2 linked regions of the Mus musculus genome follow. The protein of the gene in region 1 binds, or shares a complex with, the protein of each later gene. Links are inferred from orthologs where the notes say so. Each region holds a gene or a part of one and is shown on either strand. Other genes may lie near its edges.

Region 1 (10,360 bases):
TCTGTAAAAGTGTATGGCTAACTGGACACTGGCAGATAATTAGCATAACAAATGAATAATACTGGTTATATAATTAAATAGGGTGATCAGTTTAAGTCCGATTTGACAAGCTTAGATGTAAACAAATATTCAAGGATATAAGAGCGATAATCACAGGTCAATAGCTAGTAGAACACTGTACTAGCCAAGGGGAATATTAGAACAACTGAGGCAGAGACAGCGTGACATGAGAGGCAGAGGAAGGCAGGGAAACACTTCCAAGGTGGAGTCAGAAGAAAGGCAGGATGATGTGAGCGTTGCAGGGCTGCCACTCAGGGAGGTTTAAATCAGAGCAACAAATCTGTACTTGGGGCTGAGCACAGAAAGAATTATCTTGAGTGCTACACAAAACCATACAAAAAGAGCAAACCAAGAATCCCTGCTGTGATATGCTGGCAGAATATTCAGGCAACAAACCAGGGTGGTAGCAACTTAATGAGACTATGATTGGATTCTGTATCTACTTGAAAGGACTGCATCTGAGAGAAAAGGAGAGACTAAGGATGATGTCGTTTCTGGAAGTATTAATGGAGATCAAAAAAGCATAGCCATGGTGTAGGTTTAACCCAAATCTTAAAAGAGATATTTAGCTAATAACGGCATCTAAAATCTCAAGTTCAAGAAAAAAAGTCTGCCATGGAAGTAGGTGTTTGGAATTTTCAATCTATGTGGTCCTTAAAAGCACAAGTCTAGATAAGATCATCAAGAAGACAATCCAAAGGTGATATGAGCAAGGGAAACTGAGGGATGAGCCAACGTTACCAGGTAAGAATGGTATCTTCAAAGTCAAGTGAGGAAGGAGCACCAAGAGAAAGTGGGGATGCTGCAGAGCGCTTACTGGAATCACAGGAACGGATTCCTCGCAACAGTGGATTCAGTAGAGTGAAAGAAGACAGGTTAGAAAAATGAGGATGACTCATTTGAGACGGTTTGCTTCCAAAAAAAAAAAAAGAATTAAGAATGAGGATAACTCAAAAGAGGTTGATCAAGATAATGTAATTTCAATACAAATAGAAAAATAAGTTTCTCTGTATTTGGCACTAGAAATGTGAAAAGAGAAATGCTGTAAGTTGGAAGGAAATCATGGCATGTATGTGGCTATAACATCATCACTCACACAGAAGCAGGAGTGCTTTAAGGAGCCACCTTGGACTACACTACACCAGCCAAGACCATTTCCAAAGTCCTGGGGGGAAGCGGGCTGAGGGTGTAGCTCGGGGGCACAGCACTTGCTTACTGTGTCCAACACTGGTTTGGATGCCAGCACCAGGAAAAGGAGAAAAAATTAAGACTCCCACTCATGAGTTTTGATGAAGTTTTAGTAGGAAGCATGGACCAAAGATTTTGGCAAGGTCATGTCAGATTTAGATTGGTGGCAGGTCATTAGATTTGGAGGCAGGACCAGGTTAATGTCCTCTTCTATCTGCTTACACCTGTCTTTGTAAAGTAGAAATAGAAGCCAGGTCATTATGAGAGCTACGGACAGGAGGAAATGCTATTCCTGGCTTGATGAAATTCAAAACAGTCACATAGGATAACAGCAGCAAACCAACCAACCAACCAACCAACCCAAACACATCCAAAAGCAAACAAAAGGTTCTGAAAGGATTATGTCATCAGGTAGAAATATGGCTGCTCAGGGCGGTGGCGGCGCACGCCTTGAATCCCAGCACTGGGGAGGCAGAGGAAGGAGGATTTCTGAGTTCGAGGCCAGCCTGGTCTACAAAGTGAGTTCCAGGATAGCCAGGGCTATACAGAGAAACCCTGTCTCGAAAAAAACAAACAAACAAAAAAACCAAACCAAACCAAACCAAACCAAAAACAAAAAACAAACAAAAAAAAAAGCAAACAAACAAAAAAAACAAAACAAAAGAAGTATGCCTGCAAAATTTTGGACTCAAGTTTAAGTTCTTGAGCATCAGTGTGCAGCAGGACCAGACAGTGAAATTACACTTTTCTGTAGTCCAACCAGAAGATGGTCAAGAATCAAACAAACAGATACAACAATGGGTACAGACTTTTAAGATGAGAAGTGAGAAGGGCAGACAGTCAAGCTTGCCTAAGTGAGCAATTATGATTCATCATAAAATTTAATGGTGAGAAGGATGTGAGCTCATCAAAGAGGAGGAGACAAGAACACCGAGGAAGACAGAGAGCTAGAGAATGAGAAGTCGCAATAGAATCAAATGATATAGAAGTCACAGCCACAAGAGAGGCATGGGAAACAGTGATAGTTAAAAAGCAAGCAACAAGGTAAACTTAGTTCCGAATAATGACAAGATCAATGGGCTGGATAAAGATGTGGCTTGGGGACTAACCCAAATGCCTTGTAGATGGATCCTTGGTATTTCTCAGTGATCTATGGGCTAGCTAGAAAGAACAGCCCAGGAGTATGCAGGCTGCTGATGAGATTAGCTACAAGTCTGAGGCTCTCTGTGGTGGCACAGGATACAGGATAACACCTATAATGCCTGCCTGGGTTACTCTGTCTTCAAAAGAAAAAGGTAACAGTATGAGAATCTATTACAGACTAGAAGATATGTACAAACATGGAGGGAAAAACTTACTCAGGTGAGTTCAGATTGAGGCCTAATGTTGTTAAGTCACTTCCTAAAGCAAGATGTACCATTCCTGGGTCTGTCTCTGCTGCCCTGATAAATGTTAACAGGCCAATCATTCCAAATTGGTCCGTCACCATCCCTTGAGGAATGTTAGTAACTCGACCTGGTTAAGAAAAACACAGTTATTTTTACTTTATATTAAGGAAAGTAGAGAAAACTGTACTTTCAAATATCTCTGACATATTTATGGAGTCCCACCATCAGGTAACACCTGGATCCCCTTTTTCTGTTGATTATTGTTTTGTGTTGTTGAACTTTTATCTCCAGGGAATTTGGGTCCATCTGTACTTGAAGTCGTCTTCCCCGATGTACTCAAATTCTAGCACGAAAAAAAAAAAAAAGCATGACATTAGATGTGCTAAATATCTAAGTTTAAATTCATCAACCCCTTGCTAGCCATCCACTATTATATCTAAATTAGTAGTAATTATCTGTTTTCTACTTGAAAATTGTCTCCCCATAACTGCCTCACGAAATACAAATAAATTCTGTGTCTACAAATGAGGCAAGAAACCTTGAAAAAATTAGCCTTTTCTTTTTTGTTTTTTTTAAATCTGTCATAGATCACAGGGGGTAAAATATGAAAAATATCTGTCTTTCTTGGGGTTTTATGCTTTGTTGATGCACACTTCTATATAAAAAGAGTAATTACATATTACAGTACTAAAAATATTACCAAAGAAACCTCAAAGGTAAACTAGGAATATATGACCTTGCAAAACTTATACTTATTTCCATCCTTACCCATCAAACATACAGAAAAACAAAAAACAAAAAACAAACAAAAAAACCAGCTCTCTGCCATGAATGTTGGAAGGAATAAACACACTTTAAATCAGAAGCTGAGGTCGCTGAATCAACACAGGTATTAAAATGTGCATAGAGATTCTTCAAGGAGAAAACTTACTCAAGAAAAAGAGAGCTCCTTAGAAGTCTATATAACCAAACGTCATGGGGTCCAGCTGACAGGGACTACAATAAAAGTCTAAATTAACTCACAAGTTCAACAGAAATTTGCAAACCTACATGAAATAGGAAAAAAATGCTACCTTCTAAGTTATAAAGCTTTCTACAGTCTTCAAGTTAGATGATTACAGTGCTCAAACAGTTGTGCAGCAGCGTCTAGTCAGTAACTATTAGTGTCAGGCAATTCTAAAGGGAGAAAACTACACCACTCACACACAAGGTGCTCAGCTACTTACAGATTTGCTGTCGTCATTACTTGACGTTGGATCTTTATAGCTGGAACCAGGTAATGCTGGAAAATCTTCGTTGTGTATTGAGAAGTCTTGGGATTGCTCATTTGCAGGTTTTGTTACCATTCCAACTATGTAATGAAAAGAATCCAGAAAATGCAATTGAATCTATGATACTGTCTTATAAACTATATAAGAAACTAACTTTGCTCATCACAATATACCAAAAGCTTTTTTAAAAAAGCATGTGAACTGGCAACTCAAAAATTAATATTCAGGATAACGATAAAGAATGAAATTTTGATTTACTGCTGACAAGAAGCAACATATAAAGCAATACAAGAAAAACAAGTGGTAATCCTGAAATTCCAATCTAATGTTATATAGGTGCTTAAAATAGTATTTGATATTGGTAATAATATTCAAAATGCCGGCTTACAGGCTAGCTTTAAATATCTGACTAGATGCCATAAACACCAGTTAGCTGTCAAATGAAAATGAATATAATAAAATGTAAAAGAACATGTCAGTATTCTACTTAAAAGTGACTTACAGAGTGAGCAAATTGCAACCAATTATAAAACAATTCCACTTTATTTCTCATGTTCTTGGACTCCATGTTACAGATGTAAAACATGCAAGGACTGAGAAATACTCTTCCCACTATACTTGTCATTAGTCGGGCCCTTATTGGAGAACAAAATCCAGTTTGGGGCTCCACAATTCAAGAAGGAAATGGAGAAACTAGAGATGGTCCAAGGAGAGCAACGGGAAAGTTTAAAGGGATGAAAGAAAGGACCTATGGGGAAAGGTTAACAACATTAGCATCTGAACTGAGAGGCAAGCAGCTAGGCACGCAACTTCAGGGCACGGCACATTCTCTTATTTTGGGAAAACAGATTTGAAAGGTTTAAGATATGATCAATAAAGTTTTTCCTCTACACATTATTTTTACTCATATCCAGAAGTTCAGAACTTGAAACCCTTGATTATGGAGAAAATATTAGCTCTATTTTAAAATAAATGATGAATAAACCCATCTAATTATTGCCTTGATACCAGTCTATATGAGATCTCACCCACAAGAAACAAGAGTTTGGCTATGCTGATATCACAAAAGTTTTTGTCTCAGCTGCTATTCTGTCACTGCATATGGTTTTCTTAACATTGATATTCAGGCTCTACTCCAAATCTCTTAACTTATAGAGACTGTAAAAAGAGTGACTGGGTATAGTAATCATAGCCAAGAATCTGTAAAAATACAAAACCGTAAGCATTGGTTCTCACAGGCTTGGCAAGAGGGCGTTTGCCAGTTTGCAGAAACGTGTGCCACATCACACGGATGGGAGAAGAGCCTATGCTGGTACACAGAAGCCAAAAGTTCAAAGTGTTGCTAAATGTTCTACCTAAATAAGCACCCGCAGACTTCTGAAATGAACTTTCCAGCCCCAGTGTGAATTTAGAGAAATCTTCACTTAAGAGAGACATACCTCAATGCAGTTATTATTAATTACCAGGGACATATTCTCTTAAAGGTAGGGCCAACTAACAAAAGCTAAGCCACAAAATTAATCACATATATTAAACTAAAGCATGCGGAACGGAAGAAATAACTTCTGAATAGCAATGAAATCAAGTATTTAGATTTCTGTACTAAAGTTTACCACTCAACTTTGCTATGGTGGATACATAGAAAGAAAAAAAATCAATTTTCAAATTATGAATTCTGACAAAATAATGTTAACCTGGTCTGACAACATAAATACCTACAAGCATGCACATACAGACACATACGTGTGTAGTACACATGACTGTAGCCTTTATTTGGTAAATAAAGAACTAAGAACATGCATTACCGTAAGGAGCTCTTCCAGCCAAGGGGTTTATTAATGGAGTTGGGTTGCCGCTCCCTTCCCTTCTATTCCGGTCAGCTAACGCTGGGAAATCTGAAAGGTCCAATCCTGTCACATTTTCACTGCCATCTAAATGATAAGAGATAATGCTCGTTACTGACTCCACAAACATTTACAACGAGATTATAAAAGCCAAGCATCTCATGTGAAACAACAGCGTCTTCTTCCTTCCTAGTGCAGAGTGGTGTGGTAGGTACATGACAGTGGGCGTGCATGCTGTGGTGTGGTAGGTAGAGTGGTGTGGTAGGTACACGACAGTGGGCGTGCATGCTGTGGTGTGGTAGGTAGAGTGGTGTGGTAGGTACATGACAGTGGGCGTGCATGCTGTGGTGTGGTAGGTAGAGTGGTGTGGTAGGTACACGACAGTGGGCGTGCATGCTGTGGTGTGGTAGGTAGAGTGGTGTGGTAGGTACACGACAGTGGGCGTGCGTGCTGTGGTGTGGTAGGTAGAGTGGTGTGGTAGGTACACGACAGTGGGCGTGCGTGCTGTGGTGTGGTAGGTAGAGTGGTGTGGTAGGTACACGACAGTGGGCGTGCATGCTGTGGACTCTGTGGACTGGTTTTGCCTCATGGGATTCATTCCCTAATAACTGAGGAAAGCAGCATGCTGCCAGTGTCTCAAACTACCCAGGTCTGGAGGTGGAGACATAAAGGAGAGGGCTGGGCATTTTTTGCCCTTGATGGAAGATGGCAATGAAACACAGAGCCTGTGAGGAGCAGGAGCTGCACTGTTGAGCTCTTCATTAACACTGGACAGGGCAAGATCTACATTACTTGGAACTTCAACTATAAAGATATGACGATGACACTACCTCTTACAAATGTCCACAAAGACTTTGAGGCAAACGGCAAATAGAGAAGCCCTGAGGACTTCTGCCCAGGATACTTTAAAATGAGACAAAAATGTGTACATGTGCATGTGTTTGTGAGCTCCACGCAAGGATGGACTCCTCTTATGTGTCAGGAGTAGGTGGGGAATAGAGCAATCATCAACCCCAGAAGTTTATACTGCCTGTTACACAGTAGGCGCTCAATAAATATACTGAATAAAGATCTTTTTGTTTTGTTTTAAATTATACCGCTACCATTAGACATAAACAGTTAACCCCACTTCTTTATTCTGGCTATTTTTTTAAATTATTTTTCCCTCAACCTTTCCTGTTCTTAACCTGTATTCTAATTTTGAACTACTTAATTTCCTACCTATAATTTAGCAGTATGAAATCATTTTCTTTATATTTTGCCTCGTTTTATAAGCATGTATAGTTTTGAGGCCGTTTTTCAATTAACTTTGACTTTTCTGAAAATTTTCCCAATAGTATAATTACTATCCTCTGAGTAACTTCATTTATTAAGACAAAAGGACTGTATGAATACACCAGGAAAGGTGATCATTTAAAACTATAAGTATAAAGGTAAAGATAAACCATTTCTCACAAATTTTTCTTTAAATTTCCACTAAAAATACAGTATCGGTAAAGTATAAGAAATTAAAATCATATTTACTGTTTTAATTTATAAGTTAGTATCTCTCAAATTATGATTAATTATAAACTTCTCCAAGTAAAAATTAACTTTTAATACATGTTCTTAGATATTTCCATGACTAATTTAAAATTGTCATGTATTAGGTTAGAATATATTTTAACCAACAATTTATAATTTTCTCAGTATAAAATCTAAGAATTTTAAATTTCTGAAACTTTATAGTAGCATATTAAAAACATTATTCAGTGGAAATGTGAAAGGTAGCCAGACTTCACATGCTAGGTATGAAAAAGTGAACTCTTTAAAGTCAATGAAGTATATAACTTTGTTTTAAGAATTACAAAGTTGATAGGTTTTAAAGTCACACCCAGAAAACTATAATATTTAAATGCTTAAAAATCTTCCATTGAAAGAAATGGATATACAATTTAAATGCTTAAAGTCTTCCATTTCTTTCAATGGCTTTAATCTTGGCTGGTCCACTTAAGTTATTCAACAAACCATCAGAATGCCCAGAAGCTAAAAACCTATAGGTAAAAAAGGGCTCCCTTTTAGGTCTTCTGCAGCATATGCATACTATACCTCACACCTCTCCTCTCACCACCACCTCACATACAGAGCGCCCAGTAACACTAATACTGGTCCTACTGATGCACTAATCATGGCAACATCCCTTATTTTCTCACCACCAAAGCACTGAGAGGCACGGCTAACCAGCAATACCTACCACTCCCTGTTTAAGAAACCAGTAGACTTTAGTTTTTGTCAAAAATCAAGTTACTTTCCAGGTAGCTCAATCTTATAGATAATACTGGGTCAAAATTCTTAAGGATTAAATGTGAAACTTTTCATTAAGTGATTTTTAAAACTGCTGAGTGCTTCCTACGATTTCGATTCTTCTCTTCAGTCTGAGTATCTAAAACCAGAGTGTCCTACCACCCAACCTAGGATATACTACTCTTCCTCAGTGACAGGGCAAAGGACAGGAAACATTTTAAAGAAAAACACCAAGATTCTGAGACACAAATATAGTCCAAATTAGTATTTACTCTCTTTAGATGTTAGAAATAATTCTGATGTTACAATGCAAAATACTATGTTGCAAGGCCAAGTTAGGGGGACATTTAAACGACTCTCTGCTGTTTAATTAAATCCTACCACTGACAGTTTCCCACTAAACTAAATTCTATGTAAAAGAGTAAAATCCTGCTACCATCCAGAGAGCAGGGTGCTGATTTGCTTGCAGTGCAGAATTCTACTGTACTTTCATTAGGGCACTAGCTCCAGAGTAAGCTTACCTGTTCCATTAAAAATGTTACTTGATAAGGAGTTATTCATTCCAAATGCCTGATTCCTGTTCATTCCAAATCCAGACATACTGGGTACATAGAAAATAATTTTAGATATACAGTAAGAACACTAACTTTGAGATGTAGAAAAATAAAAGTATATATTTTGGGTCTCCTCATATAAAACAATAATATGTTTCAAAACCAATGCTAATTTGAGACTACAATATTTTAATTTAAAAATTTCTCTAAAATTCTTCAATGAACAAGAAAGAATCAAACAATTTAAACAAATTAATTTTAAAAACCGAAAAAGAAACTTAGTTATGAGTGGTGAAGAACGGAGATGAAGAGTATCATTTAATGTGTGCTGGTGTGCTAGCTTTCTGGATAAATGCATCTACTTCAACAGTATACAGTAGGTAAAGATTACCCCTCTCAACACTTGCTTTTGTTCCTGACTTATAAAGCTTGCTTTTCAGTGCAAGTCTTCTCTTTGCAACCTGTCTTTTCCAACTATTCTTTCCTGGGAGTCTATGTCTTATTCATTCTCTGCCCCCTGGTGTTTAGATTTACAAGGTAATCAATAAATGTTGACTTGACCTGAATTAAACTGACCGGTTACTTTTAAAAAAACTGAATTTAATGTTTTAAAACTCATCATTCATATCTTAAATAGAGCTTAGTTTTCATCTACTAAACAGAAAAAAAGTTCCACATAGTACTCTCAATTTTGAATTAATGCATAACTTGGTTTCTGCAAATAATTATAAACAACCCCCCTTTTTCTTTTGTATAAACCGAAGCAAAACAATAAAAAGGAACTGCATTCAAAAGAAGACCAGATAATTAAGAATGTCAACAAGGATTATTAATGAAGATTCTACAAAGAAACTTTATCATGAAATAGTCTTCTTGTAGGTTAGTGTGCCAGTGCATAGCAGAGCTAAGCATCTGGAGATGACAACTGTAACTTCGCTGCCTGATCCAGTAGACCTAGCCACCTTTGGTTAAGCTATGCAGCTAGTGGAACAACATTCTAGAGCAAAGGTAGAGTGTCAACAAACATTTGTTCCTATTATACTAGAGCTACTGGTTATATAAGTCCCCTCAAATACAGATTTAATATTCAGCTGAAGCCATTTCATAGCAAAAACAATTTATAAGTAGTATACATAAGTAGAAGTTAAGAGTTTTATTACAGTGACATTTTTATGCAAAGTATTTTTTGACTAATTAAAATGTGAAATATACAAGAAAGTAAAAATATTTAATGAACAAGAATGCAGAATGATGCCATAAAGCCTAAACAATACAGTTAAGCTATCAAAAAGAGTTATAATGACATGTTGTAAATAATTGCTTAAAAACTTAGATTAAAATGACAGGATACTATAGATAGAGCCTACACAGAACAACTGGAGTTGTGGGACAGAGGCTAAGCAGGAAGTGTGCTAAGCACCCATCTGAGTACAGATTGACAAAGAGGAAGTGAGGTGGCCAGGACAGCAACAACTACAGGACGGTGTGAAACTAAGTATAACATACATATGACATGTGACTCAAATTTATGTTGCTTTGCAACAAAGCTTTACATTTCAGATATAACTCTCATGTTACCCAAACAGTTGAATCACTGTTCTTATTTGTACAGTACAAATGGAAAGAAAAACACTAGCTTAATTTTTTGTTTGTTTGTTTTTAATCTCTAGACATAAAATTTAGAGGAGCACTGTTTTGAGATACTCTGCATGCAATTGTGAAAGGTTTTCCGTAGCTCAGCGGGCATCCAGATCGTGCCTGCCTGAAGCATG
Region 2 (10,360 bases), on another chromosome or scaffold:
GGGTGCAGTGCTTGGGGGCAGAGAAGGGCAGTTTTACAAGTTCCGAGGACAGCCTGGAGAACTCTTGACAAACATTTTCTCAGTTGTCAGGAAGCTGAATTTACTGCGCATTCATTGTGAACCAGCTTCTTCCCTGTTCTCTATTAGTTCACTTGCAAGCCTTTATTCATGAAAGAAAAACAGGGGAAGAAATGGGTTGTGTGGTAGCTCCACAGGTGTGTGTATGTTGAGAGCCACCACACAGCTTTCAGTTTCAGGGGAGCATCTGAAGAGTAGCCTGCCTTGAGTGAATGAATGGTCTCTTAAGGAGAAGTAGACAGCATTGAGAGTGATCCTCATTGTCTTCTGGAGTCTCTACTGTATGTCAGTTCCAAAGCTGGGAAACAAGGATTTATTTCCCATGCGCTGGTCTTAGGAAACCCCTCATGTTCATTTACTGTTGCTGCAAGTGTTTGCCCCTGTGCACTGGAGCTCACTGCTACATACTGACTGTGTTCAGGAGCCATACAGTGGGGGGTTTGCCTTATGAGGAAGCTCTTACGTCATTATGCATCCCTCCTCCCAGGGTCTCTCTAGATTGCTACACTGGCCTCTAGCTTGTGTTTAGTTGTGTCTGTGTGTCTGTGTGTGTTTTGGAGTCAAGGATCAAGCCTGAGGCTGTAAGCATGAGCTCTGTCTATGCCTTTTCTGTTCTGTTAATAACTGAGCCTTTTGCGTTGGTTTGCTGTAGTGACAAGTGTTCCGGTGGTGTTGAATTTGACCCGGCCCAGTACTTCCTGTGCTGTACACCGCCGGCCATTCTGCTCCCGTTTGAATTACTTTTACTGGCCTCCTCTTTTTTAATTATTTTACTTTATGTGTATAAATATTTTGCCTGCAGAACGGCTGTGTACCATGTGTCTGTTTGGTGCTTGTTGAGGCCAGAAGAGGGCATCAGACCCCTGGAACTAGAATCATGGTTGGATGTAAGCCACCATCTGGGTACTAGGAACTGACCCTGGATCCTTTATTAGAGCACCAGTGCTTTTAACCGCTGAGTCATTTCTTCAGCCCTATCACCCTCTGTTCTTATTGTGAACTTTACTGCCTAACTTATTTATTATGAGTAAAAAAGTAGACATCACAGGGCTGCAGAGATGGCTCAGCAGTCAGGACCGGTTTCTGCTCTTGCAGAAAACTTAGGTTTGGTTCCTAGCACCATATGGTAGTTACAGCCATCTCTAAGTACAGTTCCAGAGAATCTGATGCCTGCCTTTGTGCATTGTGCACTGCGTGCGCATGGTATATATAAAATCAAAACCACCCCTGTCCAGCGTAACTTGCCTTTTTTTTTTTAAAAGATTTATTTATTTATTTGATGTATATGAGTACGCTGTTGCTGTCTTCAGACACATCAGAAGAGGGCATCAGATCCCATTACAGATGTTTGTGAGCCACCATGTGGTTGCTGGGAATTGAACTCAGGACCTCTGGAAGAGCAGTGGTGCTCTTAACCACTGAGCCATCTCTCTAGCCCAGTAACTTGCCATTTTTAATGTCATGTTAAGGATTCGGGTCAACAGGTAGGGTTTTGTTTGTATCAAGAGAGAACAAACTTGACAAAGGCAAGTGTAAGCACTCCATAGGTAGTGGATGCTGAGTGCACTGACTGTTAATGAAGTTATGGTAAAACTCTGGTTTGTGTGTGTTTTCAGATAGGGTCTTGCTAGGTAGCCCTGGTTGACCTTAAATGGACTCAGTATGCAGTCCACGCTGGTCTCCCTCCTTCTACCTTGGCCTCCTGAGTGTTAGGATCATGTGTCTGGGTCACGTATCTGACTAAAATACAATTTTAATGTGTTTGATTTGTAGATATCTTATACCACCATGTAAACTTAATGTGATTTCAAACTGTCTTTATATCTAGATTGGATCCAGTGTGGACAATTAAATCAAACAGAAGGAGGCTTGTTTGTTTTTTTACATAGTTGGCTCACGGTGGCTCCTCAGGTGCCTTCAGGATGCCTGCGGCACTTGTAGAAAACAGTCAGGTCATCTGTGAGGTGTGGGCCAGCAATCTTGAGGAAGAGATGCGGAAGATCCGTGAGATTGTCCTCAGCTACAGCTATATCGCTATGGTGAGTAGGCCCTCCCCACCAAAGCCAGGGAAGGTTAGACTGATGGAAACCTAATTGCTTTTGTGAATCAAGGCAGCTAGTGTCTCTGAGGAGGGCATAGCTTCTGACACAAGTTTTTGTAATGTGTTCCTCTGATGGAAAGTCTTTTATATTTTTATTTTTGTTTATTTAGATAGGATCTGGATATGTAAGCCCTGGCTAGCCCAGCACTTGCTGGGTAGTCCAGGCAGGCCTTGTGCTTATCCTCCTGCTTCTGCCTTCTTGGTGCTGAGCTATGGTTGCCCCATTGTGCCCAGTATGTGTGGTGCTGGGAAGTGCTCTAGTGTCTGACCTACCTCAGCCCCTTTGGGTATATCTCCTCACACATGGGAATTTGAGCATGTGGTACTTATTAATTTTTTAAAATTTGGAGACAGGGTTTCATGTAACAGGCATATTTCAAGAGGACGACTTGACTTTCTGATCCTCCTGCCTCTATCTCCCAAGTGCTAGGAAGATAGGCATGTACCAACATGCCCAGCCTATGTTTTCAAAATATTCAAACATTTTATTGCTAGCACAAAAAAGGCAGGAGATGTCACATTGCAGATCTGGTGTCTCTGGGTAAAGTGGGAAGGACTGGTACTGTGTGGCTTATTTTCCTGCCCAATGGCGGGTTAGGTGGCACTCTTCTTAGGCCAGCCCCTGAGCACGCAGGTGCTCTGTTTTACTCCAGGCTTGGAGCTTGCCACTGTCTGTATTCAAACCCTGCTTTCACTCCTCTGTCCATAAGAGGCACTAGCCTTACAAGCTCTCCCAGCAGGTTAAGATCCTGTCATCCCAAACACTGGGGGTGAGGGTGTGGGGTCAGGAGTTCAAGATCAATGAGTATAGGCCAGTCTGAGCTTTACAAGGGTATAAAAGGGTTTTATGTACACACGGCAGTGAAATAGTCACTCAGGAAAGAGGAAGGCTGCATTTGTCCTTTATAAAAACATTAGACCAAGGTGGGAGCTCTGAACAGCAGGCCATGAGCCGGGCTTCTCTTTCAAGTATACGTCACACCAAGAAGCTGATGGGATGGAGCGAAGCCCCTGTGAGCCACCCCATCTACTTGGCTGTATTTGTATTTAACTCATATTGGAAGGTCCTATCTGAAGGCTAGAGAGATGGCTCAGCAGTCGAGGGCACTTGTTCTTCCTGAGGACCATGGTTCAATTCACAGCACCCATATGATAGCTCACAACTGTCTGTAACTCCACTTCCAGGGGATTTGACCCTCTCCTACAGACACACATGCCACCAGTGCACTTGAAGTAAATGAATAAGTGAAAAAAGACGTTCCTACCTGAGCGCAGCTCCCTCTAGTCACCCATTCACCTGTCTGGGTTCTGTTGTGTTCTAGACCTTGGGAGCTTATCTTGGGCTTCTGTAAACTGAAGAGCAATTTTGCTCATGGGTTGCTGAGCACCACTGTTTGCTGAGGCTTAATGGTAAGAGGCTTTTGTTCCTAGGACACAGAGTTCCCAGGTGTTGTTGTACGGCCGATCGGTGAATTTCGAAGCTCCATAGATTACCAGTATCAGCTTCTGCGGTGCAATGTTGATCTTCTTAAAATCATCCAGCTGGGCCTTACGTTCACCAATGAGAAGGGGGAGTACCCGTCTGGAATCAACACATGGCAGTTCAACTTCAAGTTCAACCTGACGTGAGTGTCTTGGGAGACCCTCAGTGTTACTAGACAGCTGAGTTTGAGTGGGCTGGTTGCTGTAAGCTTTACTAATCATGTGGTTTTTGGGATTGAGGTGGGAGGAGACATGGTTTCTCTCTATTATGTTGCTCTGAGTGTCCTGAAACTTGCTATCTTTTTTTTTTTTTTTTTTTTTTTTGGTTTTTCAAGACAGGGTGTAGTCCTGGCTGTCCTGGAACTCACTCTGGAGACCAGGCTGGCCAGAGACCAGGCGGTCTCAGAAATCTGCCTGCCTCTGCCTCCCAAGTGCTGGGATTAAAGGCGTGTGCGACCACGCCCAGCTCTTTTTTCTTTTTTTTAAAAGATTTATTTATCTTTTATGTATGTATGTGAGTACACTGTAGCTGTCTTAAGACACACCAGAAGAGGGCATCAAATCCCTGTACAGATGGTTTTGAGCCACCGTGTGGTTGCTGGGAGTTGAACTCAGGACCTCTGGAAGCAGTCGGTGCTTTTAACCGCTGAGCCAGCTCTCCAGCCCCCAGCCCAAGATTTTTAACTGTTTTTTTTTGTTTTGTTTTGTTTTTTTGTTTTTGAGACAGGATTTTTCTGTGTAGCCCTGGCTGTCCTGGAACTCACTTTGTAGACCAGGCTGGCCTTGAATTCAGAAATCCTCCTGCCTCTGTCTCCTGAGTGCTGGGATTAAAGGCATGCGCCACCACGCCTGACCTTAACTGTTATTTTGTGTATTAATGTTTTGCCTGCATGTATATCTGTCCATCATGTATGTGCCTGGTGTCCACAGCAGTTAGCAGATCCCTGGGACTGGTAGTACGGATGGTTGGGAGCTAAGCCTGGGTCTTCTGTCACGGCAGCAAGAACTCGTAGTGCTGAGCCTCATCTCCAGCCCTGCCTTTTGTTTGTTTTATAAATAAACTTCAGGGGCTGGAGAGATGGCTCAGTGGTTAAGAGCGCCGACTGCTCTTCCAAAGGTCCTGAGTTCAAATCCCAGCAACCACATGGTGGCTCGCAACCATCCGTAATAAGTAAACTTCAGGGTTAGTTCTGTCTCAAGTTTGTTTTGTTAAATTCTACTGTAAATAATATAAAGAAGTGTAAATATGATTAAAAATTAAAAAAACCAAAGGCCGCATAGATGATAGTTCAGTGGTTAAAAGCCCAGGTTGTTCTTCCAGAGCTCCTGAGTTCAGTTCCCAGCAGCCACGTGGGCACTCTCTGTCTGTGATGGGCCTGAATGCCCTCTTCTGGTGTGCAAATATACAGACAAACATCCATATACATAAATAAATAAATATTTAAAAAAGATGAAAAACAGCATAAAAAAAATGTGTGGCTCAATGGTTAGGACACCGGCTGCCCCTCCAAAAGATCTGAGCTCAATTCCCAGAGCTGGGCTCACAATTGTTTAACTCATTCATTTACATAAAACACAATTTTAAGCAAGAGAATATAGGTTTTCTGTAATTAGGAAATACAAATCTGCTGGTTTTTGGAGTGTTTCAGGAGTTCTGTGTTTCCGAATCATAAGCTAACCATAACATCTCTCCTGCTTTGGTCTCACTGCCGCCAGCTCATAGTGACACCTTGTTTTTCAGAGAGGATATGTACTCCCAGGATTCCATAGATCTGCTTGCAAACTCAGGGCTGCAGTTCCAGAAACACGAGGAGGAAGGGATCGATACACTGCACTTTGCAGAGCTGCTTATGACATCGGGAGTGGTTCTCTGTGACAACGTCAAGTGGCTTTCATTTCACAGGTCAGTCCACGGGAACTGTGGCCTGTCTCTTCAGCATAGCTTCGCCCTTCTGACTGTAGGCTGCACTGGGGAGGAACTAAATTCTTGTTGATTTGAGTCCTCCTGGCTTTTTGGAAGCAGCAGTGAGGTGGTGTTGGTGTTCCTGTGTAGTGTTTGGGAGCACGTGAACACGCACATGGGCTTTGCATCACTTGACCTGCAGTGCTGTAGTGGCTGTGCAGTGCTGTCTTCCAGGTGGATGGAGGCTGCTGTGGGCTCGGTTATTTTCAGCCTGGTGTGGCTTGTCCTTTGAAATGTCCTCAAATACAGATATTCTTTAAATACTTTTTGGAAGGTGTTTATTTTTAAAGGGTATGTGTGTGTGTGGTATGTATAGGTATGTGTGTGAGTACCTAGGGAGCCAAAAGAGGATGCTGGGCCATTGCAGGTAGACTTACAGGCATTTGTGAGCTGTCTGACCTGGGTGCTGGGATTGGAACTCTGATTCAAAATTTCTCTTTAGGTGACCCTTCTCCTGGGCTCTTACGGCTTTACTTTTGAGTTTTGATTAATCAAATTCACACAAACTCTCAGGTTCTTGTGTGTTTCTCATCGTAGCTTTCCTTATGTAAATTTCCTCACTGAATGTAAAGCTGAGATCATCAGTGCTCTTTGAGAGGCCCAGCCCCCAGCCTGAGGTGGTGGTTTAAGGCTGGACTGAGGCTGCTTTCAGACATCTGCTTTATTCCTCCTTTAGTGGTTATGATTTTGGCTACATGGTAAAGCTGCTAACAGACTCTCGCCTGCCGGAAGAAGAACACGAGTTCTTTCATATCCTGAATCTTTTCTTCCCGTCCATTTACGATGTGAAATACCTGATGAAGAGCTGCAAAAACCTGAAGGTAACAGACGGCGTTTTCCTAATGCAGGCAATGAACGAGCAGACTCCCACACTCAGGCTTGTTTTGCATTAATAATGCATTCACTATGCTTTTTCTTGAGGCCTGCCAGGTGCCAGACTTATCTAAGGAGGATGTTAATCGAGCTTGCTCTCTCTTTAGCTGTCTTTGTTGGTGACTCTGGCACCAGAAAAGCCCTATTTCTTGCATCCTGAGGCTGCCTTCCTCTGAGGTTTGAGAACCTGACAGAGTAGTTGGTGACATGAGGCCATGTGCAGTATGTTGTGACTGTTCCACATTAAAAATCCCTCTGAGGGATTTTTAATTTTTTTCATTAATTTTTTAATTGGATATCTTATTTATTTACGTTTCAAATGTTATCCCCTTTCTTTCTTTCTTTCTTTTTTTTTTTTTTTCGAGACAGTGTTTCTCTGTATAGCCCTGGCTGTCCTGGAACTCACTCTGTAGACCAGGCTGTCCTCGAACTCAGAAATCCGCCTGCCTCTGCCTCCCGAGTGCTGGGTTAAAGGCGTGCGCCACCATGCCCAGCGTTATCCCTTTTTTTGATCTTCCCTTCTCCCCTGCAGAAACCCCCTATCCCATCCTCCTTCCTCTTGCTTCTATGAGGGTGTTAACCCCCACCCCCCCACACTCCTGCCTCCTGCCTCCCTGCCCTCAATTCCCATACACTGGGGTGTCTATCAAACCTTCATAGGACCAATGGCCTCTCCTCCCATTGATGCCTGACAAGTCCATCCTTGGCTACATATGTGGCTGGAGCCGTGTGTCCCTATATGTATACTCCTTGGTTGGTGGTTTAGTCCCTGGGAGCTCTGGTTGGTTGATACTATTGTGAGATTTTTAATTCTAAAAAGTTCAAGTTGTCCTGTGAGGTGGCTCAGTGGGTAAAGATGTGGGCTGCTAACCTTAATGGACCCGAGTTTGATCTGCGACATGATAGAGCTGACTCGTGAAGGTTGTCTCTCTTCTCTGCATGCACACAGAGCATGCAGCAGGGTACTGTTTGGGAAGAATAAGAGTGAAGGTCTGAAAAATGGCTACTGAAGCCTGTTAGATGAATGGCCTGTCCCACTGCTAAACGTTCATGAGTACACTTAGCTGAGTCCAGGAGAATAGTGTTGGTATGTGACACCCTTGTTTTCTGTCCCTTAGGGAGGCCTTCAGGAGGTGGCTGATCAGTTGGATCTGCAGAGGATCGGAAGGCAGCATCAAGCAGGCTCAGACTCTCTGCTGACGGGGATGGCTTTCTTCAGGATGAAAGAGGTAATGGCGCAGTGTGAGGCCCCTGAGTGTGAGGGTCTCTGAGATGACAGCTTCCAGGTGTGGGGTCTCTTGAGTGTGTGAGGCCTGAGTTTTCTTCTGCTTTCTACAGTAGGAATGTTATTTGTTAGTCTATCTACAGAGGCTGAGTTCTGTTAATTACTGGATATTATTTCTCTAAGGAAAAGTGAATTCTCTTTTAGGTTTCTGTTTTGTTTTGCTTTTTTAAAGATTTATCTTATATATGTATACACTGTCTTCAGACACACCAGAAAAGGGCCTCAGATCCTATTACAGATGGTTGTGAGCCACCTTGTGGTTGCTGGGATTTGAACTCAGCACCTCTGGAAGGAATAGTCAGTGCTCTTAACTACTGAGCCATCTCTCCAGCTCTTCTTTTAGCTTATTTATGTACTCCATTAAGTTTTAATATATATCTGAAGAGGAAAACACTTTGAAAAATTATAGTGAAAGCTGGGTAGTGGTGGTGTACAACTTTGAGCCCAGTACTTGGAAGGCAGAGGCAGGCCGATCTCTGAGTTCAAGGCCAGCCTGGTCTACAGATCAAATTCCAGGATGGGGGGGGGGGAGGAAAAATTACTATTGTTGATATTTTTCTTTTAGTTTTATTTAATTATTTAGTTGTTTGCTTATTTATGTATATTTTTTTCAGAGGTAGTTTCTCTGTGTAGCCCAGGCTAGCCTTAAACTCAAAGCTCCACCTGTCTGCCTCTGGAGTGTTGAGATCAAAGCATGAGCTACCACTGTTGGAAGGTTTGTTGATATATATAAAAATAAAAATTTTGGGTTTTTTTTGAGACAGGGTTTCTCTGTGCAGCCCTGGCTGTCCTGGAACTCACTGTGTAGATGGGGCTGGCCTCGAACTCAGAAATTCCCCTGCCTCTGCCTCCCAGGTACTGGGATTAAAGGTGTGCACCACTACACCCAGCTGATAATTTTAAGGAATGGATGTTGATAAAAAGGAGTGAGACATGGTATGGGTCTAATTTTAGAATGGAGAAAATGGCACTTGATATTTTTAGACAGGGTCTCACTGTGTAGCCGTGGCTAGCTTTAAACTCAGTCTGGAGATCTGCCTGCTCTCCTGCTCAGCCTCTTGAGTACAGAATTAAAGGTTTGTGCTTGTCCTTGAATCCATGGCTCTCTCCTTGCCTTAGCCTCAGGGTTGGGATTATAGCTGTGAACTGCACTGCCTGGCTGTTATTTCCAGTGTTTAATTAACTAGTTTTCTGTGGCTGTAACAATATGTGAGGCCAGGTTCAAAGGACCAGTTTATTTAGGTTTCTGACTTGAGACAGCTTAGCCAGGGGTTGGCTGGCTGTTATGGCACGTGAAAGCATAGTGTCTGTTCATTCTTTAGTGGTTTGGAAACAGGAAGAGGCTGAGTTGTGGCCCCAACCTCAAGGTTTTACCATGTTTCAGTAAACCTACCAGTTGGTGCTAAGCCTTTAACACATGGACTTCTAGGGACATTTTAGATCTAAAGAGTAACCAGTGTATTAGGCTGGTCCTTGCCAACCTGCTCCTTTGTTGATGGCTTGGAGATGTTTGTTATACTTAACAGAGGTGGCACTTGTGGCCAGGGCTGTGCTCAGCATCTTGTGATTGCACTGGACAGCTCCTGCCCAGATAGTAAGGTTGAGTTGCTTGCTGAGTGCTTGGTCCCCTCCTGCCTCAGCTTCTCGGGTGCTGGATTATGTGTGTGCCAGCACACCTGGCTTTCAGGACTTCATGACTGAGGAACCATGATGGAATGGAGCTGAAGTGACTTGGCAAGCCTGAGTCCTTAGTCACTCACTCCCTTGCTTGGCAGGGTGGTGACTCCACACAGCAGCAGCCCAAGGCTTCAGCACTGACAAGTCATAAGAATGCCAAGTCTGTTTAGGATGCAGAGCCGGGATGTGTACAATGGAGCAGAAAACGTCTGAGGGGATGTTTGGTATCTTTGTTGAGTTACTGTCCAGTGTGCTGTGTCAGGGCATGAGAAGCTGGGAGCTGGCATGACTCCTGGCTCCATTCTCAGATGGTTTTGTCCTGTTCTGCAGCTATTCTTTGAGGACAGTATTGACGATGCCAAGTATTGTGGGCGCCTCTATGGCCTGGGCACAGGGGTGGCCCAGAAGCAGAATGAGGATGTGGACTGTGCCCAGGAGAAGATGAGCATCTTGGCCATGATCAACAACATGCAGCAGTGATGGTGCGTGCACCGTGCGGTCCGTGCACCATGCCGCCTGTGACCTGCATCTGCTCCAAGCAGAGACTTTGGCTTTTTGTTTAAAGATGCCTTTATTTTAGATCCAGGAGGGGTTTGCTCTGAATTTGTAAACAAGTCTTCCTCGTCCTCATGCCCCCACCCCTCTGCTGCCTCCTGCCACCAGCATCCATGGCCCCATGGACACTTTTTTAAATCTCCAGGATGTCTGAAACAAACCAGTAAAATGTCTATGACTCTTACATGTTGTCATTCTTCTTCTTTTGGCTTTGCTGCTCTGATGAAGTTGCTCAGATGAGCTGTGGCTGCCAGAGAACAAGGTGTATGTTCTTGGGAAGCAGGTCTATGCCAGTGGGCTGTTTTGCCTTGTTTGTGCTTCTTCAGGACAGAGCAGTCCTGATGAT

The links.
Region 2: Cnot2 (region 1) and Cnot8 share a complex: the UniProt entries of both Homo sapiens proteins name them as parts of the CCR4-NOT complex. The link is inferred for Mus musculus from reciprocal best matches to the Homo sapiens genes CNOT2 and CNOT8.

What each region holds. Positions count from the first base shown.
Region 1 is NC_000076.6:116,495,480-116,505,839, forward strand, and holds part of Cnot2 (CCR4-NOT transcription complex subunit 2), read right to left. Parts: intron 8,636-10,360; coding exon 8,556-8,635; intron 5,839-8,555; coding exon 5,713-5,838; intron 3,988-5,712; coding exon 3,863-3,987; intron 2,980-3,862; coding exon 2,859-2,979; intron 2,764-2,858; coding exon 2,607-2,763; intron 1-2,606. UniProt on the Homo sapiens protein: Component of the CCR4-NOT complex which is one of the major cellular mRNA deadenylases and is linked to various cellular processes including bulk mRNA degradation, miRNA-mediated repression, translational repression during translational initiation and general transcription regulation.
Region 2 is NC_000077.6:58,107,650-58,118,009, forward strand, and holds part of Cnot8 (CCR4-NOT transcription complex subunit 8), read left to right. Parts: intron 1-1,906; 5' UTR 1,907-2,000; coding exon 2,001-2,117; intron 2,118-3,610; coding exon 3,611-3,804; intron 3,805-5,402; coding exon 5,403-5,564; intron 5,565-6,300; coding exon 6,301-6,445; intron 6,446-7,615; coding exon 7,616-7,726; intron 7,727-9,789; coding exon 9,790-9,939; 3' UTR 9,940-10,360. UniProt on the Homo sapiens protein: Has 3'-5' poly(A) exoribonuclease activity for synthetic poly(A) RNA substrate. Its function seems to be partially redundant with that of CNOT7.